2 linked regions of the Mytilus edulis genome follow. The protein of the gene in region 1 binds, or shares a complex with, the protein of each later gene. Links are inferred from orthologs where the notes say so. Each region holds a gene or a part of one and is shown on either strand. Other genes may lie near its edges.

Evidence for each region.
Region 2: condensin complex subunit 1-like (region 1) and condensin complex subunit 2-like share a complex: the UniProt entries of both Homo sapiens proteins name them as parts of the condensin complex. The link is inferred for Mytilus edulis from reciprocal best matches to the Homo sapiens genes NCAPD2 and NCAPH.

Annotation. Positions count from the first base shown.
Region 1 is NC_092356.1:7,066,435-7,073,644, reverse strand, and holds the start of condensin complex subunit 1-like, read right to left. Parts: upstream 3,001-7,210; 5' UTR 2,890-3,000; intron 1,141-2,889; 5' UTR 1,133-1,140; coding exon 1,015-1,132; intron 241-1,014; coding exon 165-240; intron 1-164. Other genes in the region: uncharacterized protein, read left to right, coding at 3,254-3,792. UniProt on the Homo sapiens protein: Regulatory subunit of the condensin complex, a complex required for conversion of interphase chromatin into mitotic-like condense chromosomes.
Region 2 is NC_092347.1:57,141,560-57,149,077, forward strand, and holds the start of condensin complex subunit 2-like, read right to left. Parts: upstream 3,026-7,518; 5' UTR 2,915-3,025; intron 2,585-2,914; exon of another isoform or gene 2,422-2,584; intron 235-2,421; coding exon 1-234. UniProt on the Homo sapiens protein: Regulatory subunit of the condensin complex, a complex required for conversion of interphase chromatin into mitotic-like condense chromosomes.

The sequences.
Region 1 (7,210 bases):
AAAAATCTAGACCTTGAATAATAATACACTTTCAAATAAAATGCAATAATGAATTGTAATAAAAATATTTTTGAACTGAAATTGAAAGCTTTTAATGAAAACAATGACTTTCCCTAATTTTTTAACATTATTAAAAACGATGTTATAATGAATAGAATACAAACCATATAACACTGAACAGAGTATCAAACTTATGTAAAAGACATTTGCTGCCCTGGCTTCGAAAAGCAGTCTTCAATTCTGTAAAGACAAAAAACATCTTTTTATTTAGAGCACTTTGATCTTGTAAGTTATAGTAGAAGTTTAAGGAAAAATAAGAAAATTAAGATGATAACACAATATTGACTGTTGTACCCCTATTTTTGGCATTTTTACTCTTTGAGTATGTTTGTTTTGTTCATGCATCGTTGACAATGTAATGGAATTTGATGCGACTGTCATACAAGTGAGAGGTTAAGCTAGCTATAAAACCAGGTTCAATCCACCATTTTCTACATTAGAAAATGCCTGTACTAAGTCAGGAATATGACAGTTGTTATCCATTCGTTTGATGTGTTTGGACTTTTGATTTTGCCTTTTGATTTTTGATTTTCCTTTTTGAATTTTCCTCGGAGTTCAGTATTTTTGTGTTTTTACTTTTTATAAATAAAGATTGTAAAAATTTTGAATAGAGATTAAAATACTGCTGATTTCTACCTGTATTTTATTTATATCAGTATAAAATAAGAAACATGGTATGATTGTCCAATAAGGCAACAATCCTCAAGAGTTCAAATCATTGATGTGGCTTATTTGATTGAAAGCAATATTGAAAACACAATTAACAGAAAAGAATGAATTGGGCTTTTTTATTACATATATTGTTTAATCTTATATTTGTTCTGCTTTTCTCAACTTTTTCTTATTATCAAAATGTACAATAACTACAGATAAATAAATAAAAGATGTGGAAAGATGGATAACAGCTGCATCAACATGTTTCAATTTTCATCAACAAAATATTTTTCAATTTACCTTGTAGAGCACCTGGTATCTCTCTCAGTGTGGCAATCTCACTGACAACAAAGTGATCTATACCTGTTCTGTTTAACAAGTCATCACGAGAAGAGGGAATTACAAATTCAAAACTCATCTTTAAAACTGAAAATAAAGAATAAGAGATTATTAAACAGTATTCATTTCTTCAATCATTTATCAATAGAAATAGACTTCATAACAACATTTCAGATTTGTCTAGTGATTGCACTTATTTACAATTTTAATTCTCATTGTGCTCATTTCGCAAATGTAGTTTTTGGACCGTTCTTTTTTAACCAAGTAGAAAAATGGGCTTACAAACATTAAAACATCACAGCATGAGTATGGGGTTAAGTCATTATCAGAATAGTAATGAGGCTGGTCAGAGATGATATTTTTGTCCATACAGTGCCAGCCAATCAAGTTGTCATTTTCATTCCCGATAATTAATTAACCACTTCATTTTTTGTTAATTCTGCAGAAAATACTTGCTTCAGTTTCTAGACTAGTTCATTAGTTGATTTCTTTTTCAATAGTACATTCCCTTTTTATTTTCAGATCTCTAAACTAACTTATTCATTTACTTTAAATTTCTAATCTGAATATACAATGTAAGAGACAGAAACAACTTGTTTTCAGGTCGATCTGGCCCCAAGTCGATCCAGCCCCAATAAAAAATTATATCTATAAGGAATAAAAGGAAGATATTTATTGTAATTCATAAATGTTTATGAATTTTATAATAATGTTAAAGCTGTACGGGTATAATTACAATAAAAAACATAAAAGAATTTATTACAATCAACATTAATTGTATTGTTTCCAATTGACTGTGATCCTAGCAAGTGTCATCCTGTGTAATAAGGAAGTTACATTAACAACAACACAAGCCGATCCCTAAGCTGATACACACTTAATTTTTGTTTGAGTTCTAAAAACTTCTAAAATTGATAAATGTTGTTTGATTTGCCGAATCCTTTCTATAAAAGAGGAGACAGAAATATAACATGTATTTAATTTTGTGTAAGGGCCTCAATGAAAATTAAGCAGTCTATTGAGTTACAGACACAATGACACTGATTTTTGTATCGATTCAAAATAATGTCGTCAATTATGGATACTTGTAGATTTTTAAAATTCCATTTATACTGATTTCAATTTGACACCAAATCCTCCAAAGGCAGTATAGATTAGTATTCATTATTATATTATGAGGCCGGATCGACGTGGGAAGGATCAACTTGGAGCTGGATTAGTTTGTAGACAGAACGACAGAATACCGAACAACTTTATCTTCTTCTGATTGTATAACCCCCACTTTTCCTGACTTTAGGCTAGCCCAACCTTGTATGGTGTTGTCAAATTATACACCTTATCGCTAAAACAGGATAGTCAACCAAATGACGGTGGTCACTTAGTGGTAGTAGAAGTAATTCCAGCTGACCCGGCCGCTTTAACTATTGACGTAAAAATGTATACAACAATCACTTTTTCGTTGTAGCGTCAGATATTTTGTTTTATGATGTCAGACAAATACTCATAATTTCAAATAGCGATAAGATGTATTGTGAACAGAACAGGGAGTTTCTTCAGTCAGTACTGCGGGAACTGGTACAGCAACAAGGGATCTGAATGAATACATGACACAAGGGTTTGAAGGATCGTACTGCCTCTTACGAAAGATATGATATCTAGAAAGTTTCAACATTTAGTAAACTTTCAATAACTCAACCTTGCAATGTTCAAGGAAACCCCCCTTTTTATGTTTCAACAAAATTATGAGTTCACGCCTTCTTGCATTTCCTTTATAACTGTTCTCATCTATAAATCAATGATAAGTATAATAGCATAACTTGTAATGTAGACTCTTACTTCTTTTAACTTTCTAAGCGTCAATACTATACTGATCATTCCACAATGTTTACAAACTTTGAAAATTTCAACTTTCCGCCTTTCGCAGCGTGAGATATCGACCAATCAAATTGAAGCTTTATATTTACATCTTTTAGAAAAAAGAAAAATAAAGACCAAAGGAAAATAGAATTATAATTTCGATTAGGTTTATCAAATTTCTTCCAAATTTTGAACCTATAAATGATTTGATGAAAACGTAAAATTTAAATAGACCAATCAATTTGAAAATCTATTTAAAGTTCCGACGACCGGAAGCAATCATTAATCTCCAAACCGAAAGTGGCCGGCATGAGAAAATCTTTTAACCCCGAGATGGACAAAAATGAATAATTTTAAGCCCTTTTATCTTATCCTTTTATTGTTATCGTCTGTGATATTGTTATATTTAAGTTTTAAAAGTATTGTTTTACTCACAGTTTTAGCAGTTGCTGTCATATGGGGCTCGAATGTCGTAAACGGCTCCTGGAAAAGTACAAATACTCAAAAATTAACAGCATTTAAATTGAAAAAGACGAAACCATTCTCACATGAAAAGAAAACTAAAATAAAATTAAGCAACAAGAAGAACAGTTACGATTCATCATTCAAACAGTTTTTTAATGCAAACTGTGAAGCAGAAATGCCATCCACAGTCAAACTGACACCAGGCCCAAATCGACAAAAAACATCAATTAACAGAAGTCAGACTTTTTCATCTCCGTCTCCATATCTCCGGACGTCATTGTTTAACAGTTCATGCTCTTTTCAAGATCGCTCGGATGGCAACTTGTCCATTTCATCAACAAATGGTCATTCAAGATCTCCAGCACCATTTTTACCATCGATCAAAAGAGCACTCGGGGTATCAGAATACTCACCAAGGTAATTGATAGTATGAGACAGGTGCTGCCATAAAAGAGAATTTTTCTAGTATTATCAAACAGTTGCCAATAAAGGCACTTCGAGATCAAACAAACCATTTTAACGGTGCGGCCGAACTGCAATGTCATATTACAATTACATATTTCAATTACCCCATGTCTGTATGATATGGGCCATGGGATAACACTGCCTCGGTTAACTGGATATTTTTTCCCAACTTTATTAGATATGATAATGATAAAAAACACTTACGTTCCGTCATTGTGGTATTAGTCACATTTTGATATAAAAAGAAAAAATTCCCAATTTTTATTTTTTTACATTTACAACAGACATGACCATGATGACAGATTATATATTTCTAGACATATTTATCTATCTTCTAATTTCAATTATTAACTTGTGTGATGATGTTCTGTAACTGCAAAAGGCTTGTCTATCTTTAACCAATTTATAGAAGTTAATACATGTACAATCAAATGACTATATGCATATATGTCTAGTCCAGGGATGGGCATGATACTGACAAAAGTAATCGATTACTTGAAGGATTTTTGTGTATTCGATTAATAATCAATTGCAATTACATTACTTTTCGATTACTGTCAATTACATGCTACAAAATAACAATAAAATAAGTAAGTTAAACATAACTATGTAGTTCAACGTATGTATAGTGGAAATTTAGAACTTTATGAAAACAGCATTTAAAGCATTGTTTTTAAATTTTAAGTTAACAGTTGTTTTCTTGATGGAAGCTCTTACTGAGGATGAGAAATATTTAAAAATTCTTGATTTTTGGTTTTCAACATGAGTGAGTAGTGATAAATTTCTTGCACTGACATGGCCTGGTTTCGGTCACTTCTTTAAATTTTTTTTTTTTTCTCCATGTTTTGCAAATTTTTGCTGTCATACTGACGTAAGTTAGGTATTTTGTATTTACTCATTTTTAACACGTATATTTGAATATAGTTCATTTCAATGTTGGAAGTTTCCTCTGAAAAAAATATATAAAAAAGGAGAATAATTAACTAGTTCAGCTAATTTTAAAGATGTAATTTTATAATATTTATAATTAATACATGCATGAAATAATCGGGTTTTTGGATAGCCTTCCTAAATACAGATTATAAAACTGCCAATGGGATACATTTTATAACTGGGGCAATATAATGTAAATCTCCTCTTAATTAGACATAACTGAAATCAAAACAAAGTTGGCATCTCATTGATTAGAAATCCTTGATCATCTGATTGGTAAAGACAATAAGTTAGTTGAAATTTTATTATGCTATATTCAAAATTATAAACAATATATATTTTTTAGTGTCAAAATGGGATACAGGTATCCTGCACAAAATTTCAATGCATAGTTATCGGTTCATTGTCAAAAGGATTTTGTGAACTTTCTAATTTTTTAAATCATAATATTATGACGAATCAACTGTTTATCTATTCTAGCTAAAATTCCACCTCTTATTTAAAACTAAGCTTCAATGTCAATGCAGTACAGAACTTAACCCTTTCAACGCTACACAAAAAAATAGAAAAATGGCTGCTGCTGCTGCATTTTTTTTGTGTTCATTCATTAGAACAGTATATTCCTTTTCAGACTGCTGTATCTTTTTTATTATAAGAGATACAGAAAAAGTTATTGCATGAAAAATGCTCAGGAGAGTATGAACTGTAATGTTAGGCAGTTATTTAAGTAAAATTTTTATCAGGTTACCTGCATTTTCAGGTAATTAACAGGTAAAAGGTGTAATTTGTTACATTTGTGTTGAATTTTGAATAAAAACTACTTTTCGTCTTCATCTATTTTGTTTTTTTATCTGCCATATAATAAAGAAGACACCAATTGCTCGATTCCGTAGCGTATTGCACCATACACAACGTATTATGTAATCATGGCACAAATCAGTGGCTCCGTCCTCAAAATTTTCAGTCAACCTCCGTTTTCCCCCCTTTTTCTATGTCTCGTAATGATCGATCAAATCATATTTCCCACACGAATTGAATGTAATAAACACATTGAGATAACAAGAAACTTTTAACTAATCCTCGTCATCAGTTTCGCCATAGAAATGCTGAAATATTTCCATATTTACAGCTTCGTTTCCGATTTCCGCCATTTGCATTTGTCAAAATATTTGTTTTTATTTTCCTCCAATTTTCCTTCTACTGCATGATTTTACAATAAAAATTGCCGGGATTTCAAGCGCAAATGAGACCTTGCATATCTTCAATTCATACAAGGAAAAATAAGAGAGGACCCGAATGAAAACCGAATGGTTTCGAGTCCTTATGAAAAATCCGTTGTCATCGCGGCATATGCCGCGAATAGCAGTGGCGGACGGCGTATGTCATCGCGGCATATGCCGTGTATAGCGTTGAAAGGGTTAACACAAGACTCATTTCTTATTTTTATCTATTTTCTTATTTCAAAATAAAAGGTCTTTAAATTATTGGCAAGCATTGAAGACAGTATAGTCAATTGTTTCATAGCTGATTATATACAGTAAAATTTGGTAGGAGATCTGGTTGATCAAAATGTAGCTATAGACAAAAGATACAAATTAGGCATTTGATAAACTCTGAAGTTTTTTTTAATAATTTCTATTTTATCTGTACTATAAAGTGATGAAGACATACTTATTTTCATTTAAAAAAGGATATATTTCATTAAACTATTTTACTAAAGTAATCAATGATTACATCATAATAATTGCTGTAATCGATTAAATTAAGATTATATGTAATCGAAATGTCTTCGATTACAGATTACTGTCGATTACTGAAAAAAATGTAATCAATTACAATCGATTAGGATTACAGATTACAATTACCCCATCCTGGGTCCAGTCCACCTTCTGTATTTACATCTCAAAAGTGTGGGCAGACAAAGACCCAATAATGTCTGATTAAAAAGAAATCTAGTAAAATGATGCTCTAAATAAATTCTTTATAGGTTTAAGTCTTTCTGTAAATTGGCAATTTTACATTGAAACTACAAAAAAGTTGAAAATAATGTCATATACATGTACAATGTATGCAAAATGCCAAGTAAAAGATTAGACTGACGAAATCTTAATCAATGTCAACCCACATGACTGGCATGTGACTTATTTTCAAGAACTGTTGGGTTGCCATGAAAAATGTTTTTGAAAATATTGTTTATATGATCAGATTTTAAATTTTTTCCCTAGTTTGTGCATTCTTGTAATCTTCAACATATTGAAGTTAAAGAGTATTACATGTATGTAGATGTATATGTAGAGAGTGCTGAATGTTACGTTAAACACAAACAATTAATCAGTAATATTTTTCAGGAAAAGACAAGTGGTCATCCATCTTATGGGTTTAGAAAATAAATTTCTTTATAACCATGCTTACTGTATACTACTGTAAATTCAGAATT
Region 2 (7,518 bases), on another chromosome or scaffold:
AGGTGAAGCAGGACTCCCAACAGTTTGTTTCAATTCTAATGCTCTGGAGCGACGTCGATCACGCTTCTCAGTACCAGCATCATATTCTTCCATATACATAGTCACAGGACTATCCATTCCTTTATGTCTGCTAGTTGATGGAGACACAAAACTACCAACTGTATTACTAATACCAGACCGTTTCTGTATGGCTGGCGTTGTCAAAGGAGAGAGGACATCTGACCTGCTGGGCATCTATAGAAAGCAAAAATTGTTCAATTGTTAATCAGTGTAAATTAAAGAAGTCACACTAACCAGTCTTTGGTTCTCTAGTTTTTCTTTAATGCTATGTTGACAATTTTATGATCTGAAGTGATATGCTTTTTTAATAAGAAATTGATTTTGATCATAGAAGCAGCTTGTAGTAATTTATTTTAGTGGAAAATAAATATACAAGGTTTTTTTCCAGTGAAAAGAGTTACATTCTGTCATTGATGACCAATGTACATGTATGCAGCTTGGGGAACTCAGCTAAATATTGTTTATTTAACCATTAGTGTCCATCACCAATTGTAAAATTGTGCATTCAAAGATAAAGAAGACATTAATACACTATTAAGTTTATTTGATTGTTTATTGTCACATGTACATAGGAATAAGCTTTCTAATTGCTGAATGGGGATATTTTTTATTTGTTAGTCTACACACAGGAATTCCCCAGTTAAAATATGAAATTGTAATTAGTGACAATGGAAAAGTCAGGCCAAACCTCAGATGTGTAGAATTCATGCAACCAAGTTCAGGAACTAATTGACAAATGCATTTATTTACAAATTTTGAAAAGTTCAAATACAGTGATCGGGAAGGTCGTGCGCCCTGCGCCTATAGCGCATATCGACCAGAAATGGCGCATAGAGTGACTTATATAAGCGCCCACGTGGCGCACGATATTTTTCACTTCGTTTCGATACGTTTTGATATCGTCAAATGGATTTCCGATCGTGTACCGTGCCGCCATGTGTGTGTACACAACTGTGTAATGTTCCTCCAATGATAGGAGCACCTATATATTTTTGGGACGTCTCGGGTGTTTTCCTATGGAAATAATAGAACCATGGGTGTAACTGATTACCCAAAAAACGTAATTAACCATCATTCATGATATGATTTTTTACAACCTTAAATTTGTAAAATTTGGCTAGTACAGACGAGATTTGTCTCTAATTATTATCTTTTAATTTAGTTCAGCTTGCTACTTTTTCGTTGAAAAACCCCAAAGCCTTTTTATGAATATAGTTTTTGTCTCCATAAAAGGCGACTAACTGTCCTTGTCACTTTTTGGTCTTTGGCTTGTTTTGACATTTTGTAAACATGCCTTCAGCGAATTGTTGTTTTGTTTTATCAATTAATGATACTCTCTACTGTTATTGTTGTCATCGTGATGAAGTAATAATAATACAAGAAGTGCAGAGGAAATGCCAAATACGTCCTCTAATACGGAACGTCGGGAATAAGTATGGTATCGACGAAGACCCAAATTTAATGTAAAAAAACTCATGCACATGAACAAGACAACAGTAGCAGTAGAAACATTGTAAATAAAGGATATCTTAAATATTATCTGGTTTGGAAGAAATTATTTTACATTCTTTGTTGAATTGAAATAACAAAATCACAGGCACAATATCTATAATATTATTTAAAATCATTAAGGTAAGTACCACCATCTCTTTGCTGAGATATACACTTTTTACTTTTTTCACTGTAGTCAATTCAAATGGCCCATTCATTTGACAACATGGCCCATTATTTTTTAAAATGGCCCCTTGAATTTAATTTTGAGGGGCCCTGGGCCCAAAGAGAAATAATCCTTCCAGATCACTGCAAATAACATTAAATATAAATTTACAATTTTTAAAATGCATCCCTGTTTATTTTCTAGCATGTGTAATATGTACATATACATGTACTGTACAACTGAAAAACTTTCTTCAAAATGTTTAATTTTCCTCTCCCAGTTGTGGATTTGAAGTTGTAACACAGATGTCCATTAATTTAATACATTGAGAATGATTTGCTGTGAGTATTACATTTGTTAAGAGAGTATAAAGGATTTTCTCCTATTGCATCATGGCAATTTCATTCTTTCCTGTTATTGTGACAGGTATTTGCAGTGCCAGGCCCAAATTCTCTTGTTACATGCATGAAAACAACAGGATGAATTAAAGAAATCAATATGAATACATTTGTATATACATTTTTTGTACATGTAGATTATCAATTATAGATTGTATAGTGTTGACTGTATGCATAATACAAAAACAACTGGCATATCTAAAGCTTACAGTATTTCACAATTATTTAAAACATTAAATATAATACAAAATTGAAAAACACTTTTTTACTCCTGTATCAGTTTATGTATGCTTTACATGTACTTACTGAACAACCCAACAATTTGAAAATAATAATGTGTTGTCATTCCTCATATTTAGTATTAAGTAACCATTGTTCAACATATAACTTGCGAATAATCAACAAAATTCTGTTTTGCATCAGTACATGTGCAGACAATAATAAACTGAAGAACTATCAAAAGGGAGACAACTTCAAAAGATTTGAAACATTTTAAATATTGACTATCATAATTTGTGTTTAGCGGTTTCTGTTCTTTTATATTTCTTAATTGTCATGCTATTATTCGTTCCTAAAAATATCTTTAATGTATAAACTACATATTTGTTATTAGAAATCACTATAAACATGATAAATCGGTTTATTTTGATATTCATAAAAAATTATGAAGACTGAAGTGAACCCGTTCTCATTTGATTTAAACAATCTTAAAGGGTACACAGTTTGATAATTTCATAGACTCACTGGGAATGTTTTGTAATTTTGTATATGTGTTTTGTCATTTACACTATAAAGTCACCTTTTGTGTTGTTTAGAACTTATCTATTGTTTTGAAGTTTCCGCCATCCGTATGGTCTCGTTTGTGGACGAGAAATTGCGAGAAATAGGGACACACTAAGACATTATTTGCATTTCCGTGTATGCCTCTGTAAGATGGAAACACGTAATAATAGTTTTCATCGTCTAAACGTTTCAAATTCAGCAAACAAACCAAAAGAAAGTAGCAAAATAACAACATATGTATCTTATAAGTATCCATTAAAATGTTACTAGAAAAAGCACACCTCCTTATTCCTGAGACAAAGAGTAAAGGTTAGTATAAATAACATCCACAATTGTATATATTACAAAATACGCATTATGTACAGTATTCACGAATTCAAGATTACATATTGATTTTAAAAGAAAAAAGTGACTATATAATTTATTTATCGTTAATTCTTACTTTGAATGAAGCATTTGTGTAGTGTACTATAGCAATTTGCACTTAACTTTATGAGAGCCACAAGTAAGATTAGAACACAATATAATAAAATTGAGAATGGAAATGGGGAATGTGTCAAAGAGACAACAACCCGACCATAGAGCAGACAACAGCAGAAGGTCACCAACAGGTCTTCAATGCAGCGAGAAATTGGTTTCACTCTCTTTAAATAAGGCATATTATTATCAATGCTGCTTAAATTTTCTTCAAAATGTAGGTGAAACCTAAATTAGATATGAAGATTGAATATAAAATAGAATAAGATGATATGCATGGTACGGATTCCAATGAGACAACTGTAATCCAAAAAGACAAGAGGACAAATATGTGAACAATGTCAGATCACCACAAAGGGTAATGTCACTAGCTCTCGTATCCGCCGCGTAATCTGATCCAGAAGTGATAAACTGGGTTTTCAATCGTTAACAAAGTTTAAAATCGAATTTCATTTTGGAAAAAGATGAGTTCTTTTATAACAAGATGTCACCATTTTCCCTGAATTTGTTTCCATCGCCGAGTCGCGGATGCAAAGGTGTTGAAAGCTAGAGAAATTTTGAAATGTAAATAATTGCTTGTAAGTGGCTTCGAACAGTAACATAAATAATGCGGCGGGGGTAACATGTTTGTGAAACTCACTCCTTCCTAACCTAGTGTAGTAGTGTGAAAATCGCAGTCACATTGGAACAAATCTTAAAACTACGTTAAAAAAGTCGACTCGATCATAAAAAAAACACACAAAAACATGTAACAAAAAGAATTAAAAAAAAACATTGATTCAATGATGTCATAGATAAAACACTCTTTGAATATAGTTTCAAATTGTTGTCAAATGATATACTATAAAAAGGAGTGGGGGTATATTAATGGCATTACAATCTAAACACTATAGATACAGTATGTCTGAACTGTATAAGTCAGTTAAGATAAAAATCTTATTTTTTTTTAATTTTTGGTTGTACAAAAGACAAGCTCTGAATCAAGTTATCGTCTTGCTTAAACTATGTCCTGTAATAAATGATTCCTGTATATTCAGAATAAGGACTGCTAGATAAGTGTCTAAGTTCAGAACGGGAGCAAACTAACATTAAACTGATATATGCAAATATGAAAATGAAATTATTCAGGATAAGGCAAAACATTTTGACCCAACGCTTGCACACATACGAGAGCTGTTTTAAGGGCCATTCTCAAATGAACAGCAAAAGAACAGTGTGCCAAGCTTATAAACTTCATCAACAAACCAAATTTCAGAAACAAGAAACAATTAGAATTCAAAAGTTTATTAAAGTCTCACCACATACGACATGATTAAAACAAGATACAATTATAAAATTAATTATACAGTAAACATAGTTAAAACAATTAAATACATGTATGTGCCATTCTTAAAAGAATTATGAGAGACTATTAAAATACAAATAATACTTATTCATTTTATAAAATACTACAAATACAGTAGTTAATGATATAAAATACTGTTTCTCCTTGTTAAAATGTTATTGCAGGTTTTGGCAACAATATTACAAATATTGGTATTTTTAAACATATATATAAATTTTTCTTCATCAGACAAGTTTAAAAACATATCATTATGACACAATTTATCAATAAAAAGAGCATGTCTTAGATCTTCATACAAGGGACAATTTAAAAGTACATGTTTTTCATCCTCTAAAATATTACAGTTAAAACAGACACTTTCGTCTAGATTTTTTCTTTCATATCGACCAGTTTCAATTTTTAATGGTGCTACATCACATCTAAACTTTGAAAAAGCACTACAATGGCGCTGTGGCATTTAAACAAGATGGCAGGCATAATTCAAACCACTATTTAACAACGAATACAGTACACGCATTTTAAAAGAATTAAAAAAGTGCACACAACAATAGTTCAATGTAATTATTCAAATATTCAAATATACATATTTTTTTATTTGAAGAAGCAAACACTTAGTCCAGAAGACAAATTTCAAGTCAACAAAAAAACCCACCTAAGGACATGTATAACATTATACAATATAACACTGAACAATATAAATTATCACTGGTATACTATTTGAGTCTGGTGGAGGACCGTAAGGGTTCTGTACAGGAAATTCGTTTCAGTACATAATTGAAAATAGCACAACAGAGGTGTGGGTAACACAACAGCCTGGTTTGTGTACAAACGGCATGACAATAAACGGACAGCAAATGTGATACAAAGGGTCATAACAGCACTGCATTCAAGCACAAACTCCTGACTTGGGACATTCATATACTGAATGCTGCGGGATTAAGCCATCATTCCGACGTGGGGGTCATCTCCACCAAAACAGTGATTCATATAAGAGCACATTGATTTAATTAGAGAATTTCTATAAATTAGTCACTTGAAAGACTGTCCCTGATATAACATAAGAACAAATTATCCGTGACTGAAATCATATAAATGATCGCCGATACAGAGCACACCACAACTTATAATGTGAACGCAATAAGGGACGACATCAAAAGTTCAATGAAGGATAAAAAACTTAATTCAAATAGTTTTTTCACTGACCCCCCTATAAACTTAATTTGGGAAAAATTGATTGACCCATATGGATATATGTAAAAATCAAAGTCGGATAACCAAATCTTGCAGCAGTTCAACCCCCAAACTATTTGAATTAAGTTTTTTTTTTTTTTTTTTTTTTTTTTTTTTTTTATCTTACATTGATCTTTTGATGTCGTCCCTAAAGATAAGATTATCGATCTAATAATATTCGAAGCTACCGAAAGTTATTTTAATGCCAATAACAACTAAAAAATAATCATGTAGTCAATTTAAATTTCACTCATTATTAATTTAGTCTATTTGAATTACTCAAAATATCAATATTCACAATTTAATTTTTAAAATGATAATTTTTAATAATGTAAATCATAAACTATGTCGTTTAGTGCTATATCTTTGTCATTTTAATCTGAGACTACTATAACTATATGTGTTATAGTAGTCTCAGTTTTAATTTATTGTGTTTGTAAAATTCATGCCTTTTATCTTGAATATGTGTGCACACAAAAAAATATTCATCCGTATACGTTCCTTTGATTAAAAGTGTAAAGACGTCATAAACATTTTATGAAAGCGTGACCTTCTACAATAAGGTACCAAAACAATTGTCCATTTTGCTTGTGTGATCTTTTTTTTCTAATAACATGTTAAAACGCAATCAGATCTACTTCTGTGGAATGAATTTCCATTTATTTATTTATATTCCGCGATATGGGTCCGACTTCGAGTTTAGCAGTACATAATTTATTTTTACCTGCGTTTCGAAACCGTTCATTTCATTGGTTGATATATTTAGCAGCGCCATCTTTAAAAACAACAAGCTAACAAGAGTAAGCAGGATAAAATTGAAGATTGGAAAATCAGTGATTGTACACCAGTTAAATTTGATTTAACACCAAATTTTAAGGATTTATTAATTTTTTAATCCTCCTGATAGAAATTCCATTTTTTCATTTACATTTATTTTTGACAGTCAGACTTGTTTCAATTTCAAAGAAAAATAAATTTTTATCTGGCAAAAGCAGAGTATTCCGTAGTCCAAATAATTATGACGTCTTGAAAGGCTATTATAATTTTTTTCTTTGACGCCTTACTTCTTGAAAGGCTATTATAATTTTTTTCTTTGACGCCTTACTTCGAATCGAAGTAAGGCGTCAAAGAAAAAAATTATAATAGCCTTTCAAGACGTCATAATTATTTGGACTAAGTATTCCGTAAACAGTGTTAGCTACTGTTAAATGACATTTGTGTTAATAACTCTAACAGAAAAATATATAAGTGTGTAGACCAAAAAACATAATAGACTTTAGTGACTACCATTAATGTATCAAACAATACTTATATAAAACTTTGTAGTCTAAGGTGGGTCTCACTGAGGTTAGACCGAATAATCTGTCTTGTGTGGGTACATTTGTCATTTCATATTTTCTTTTCATCATTTGGCTATTTATTATTTTTTTTTTTTTTGTGTGTCCACACGGAGACAGAAAGTGCTACTATCAAAAACGAAGCAAGACATCTCGGCACATTACAAACTCGGGACACGTCAACTCGGCATAGTGTAAACTCGGCACATTACAAACTCGGCATATTACAAA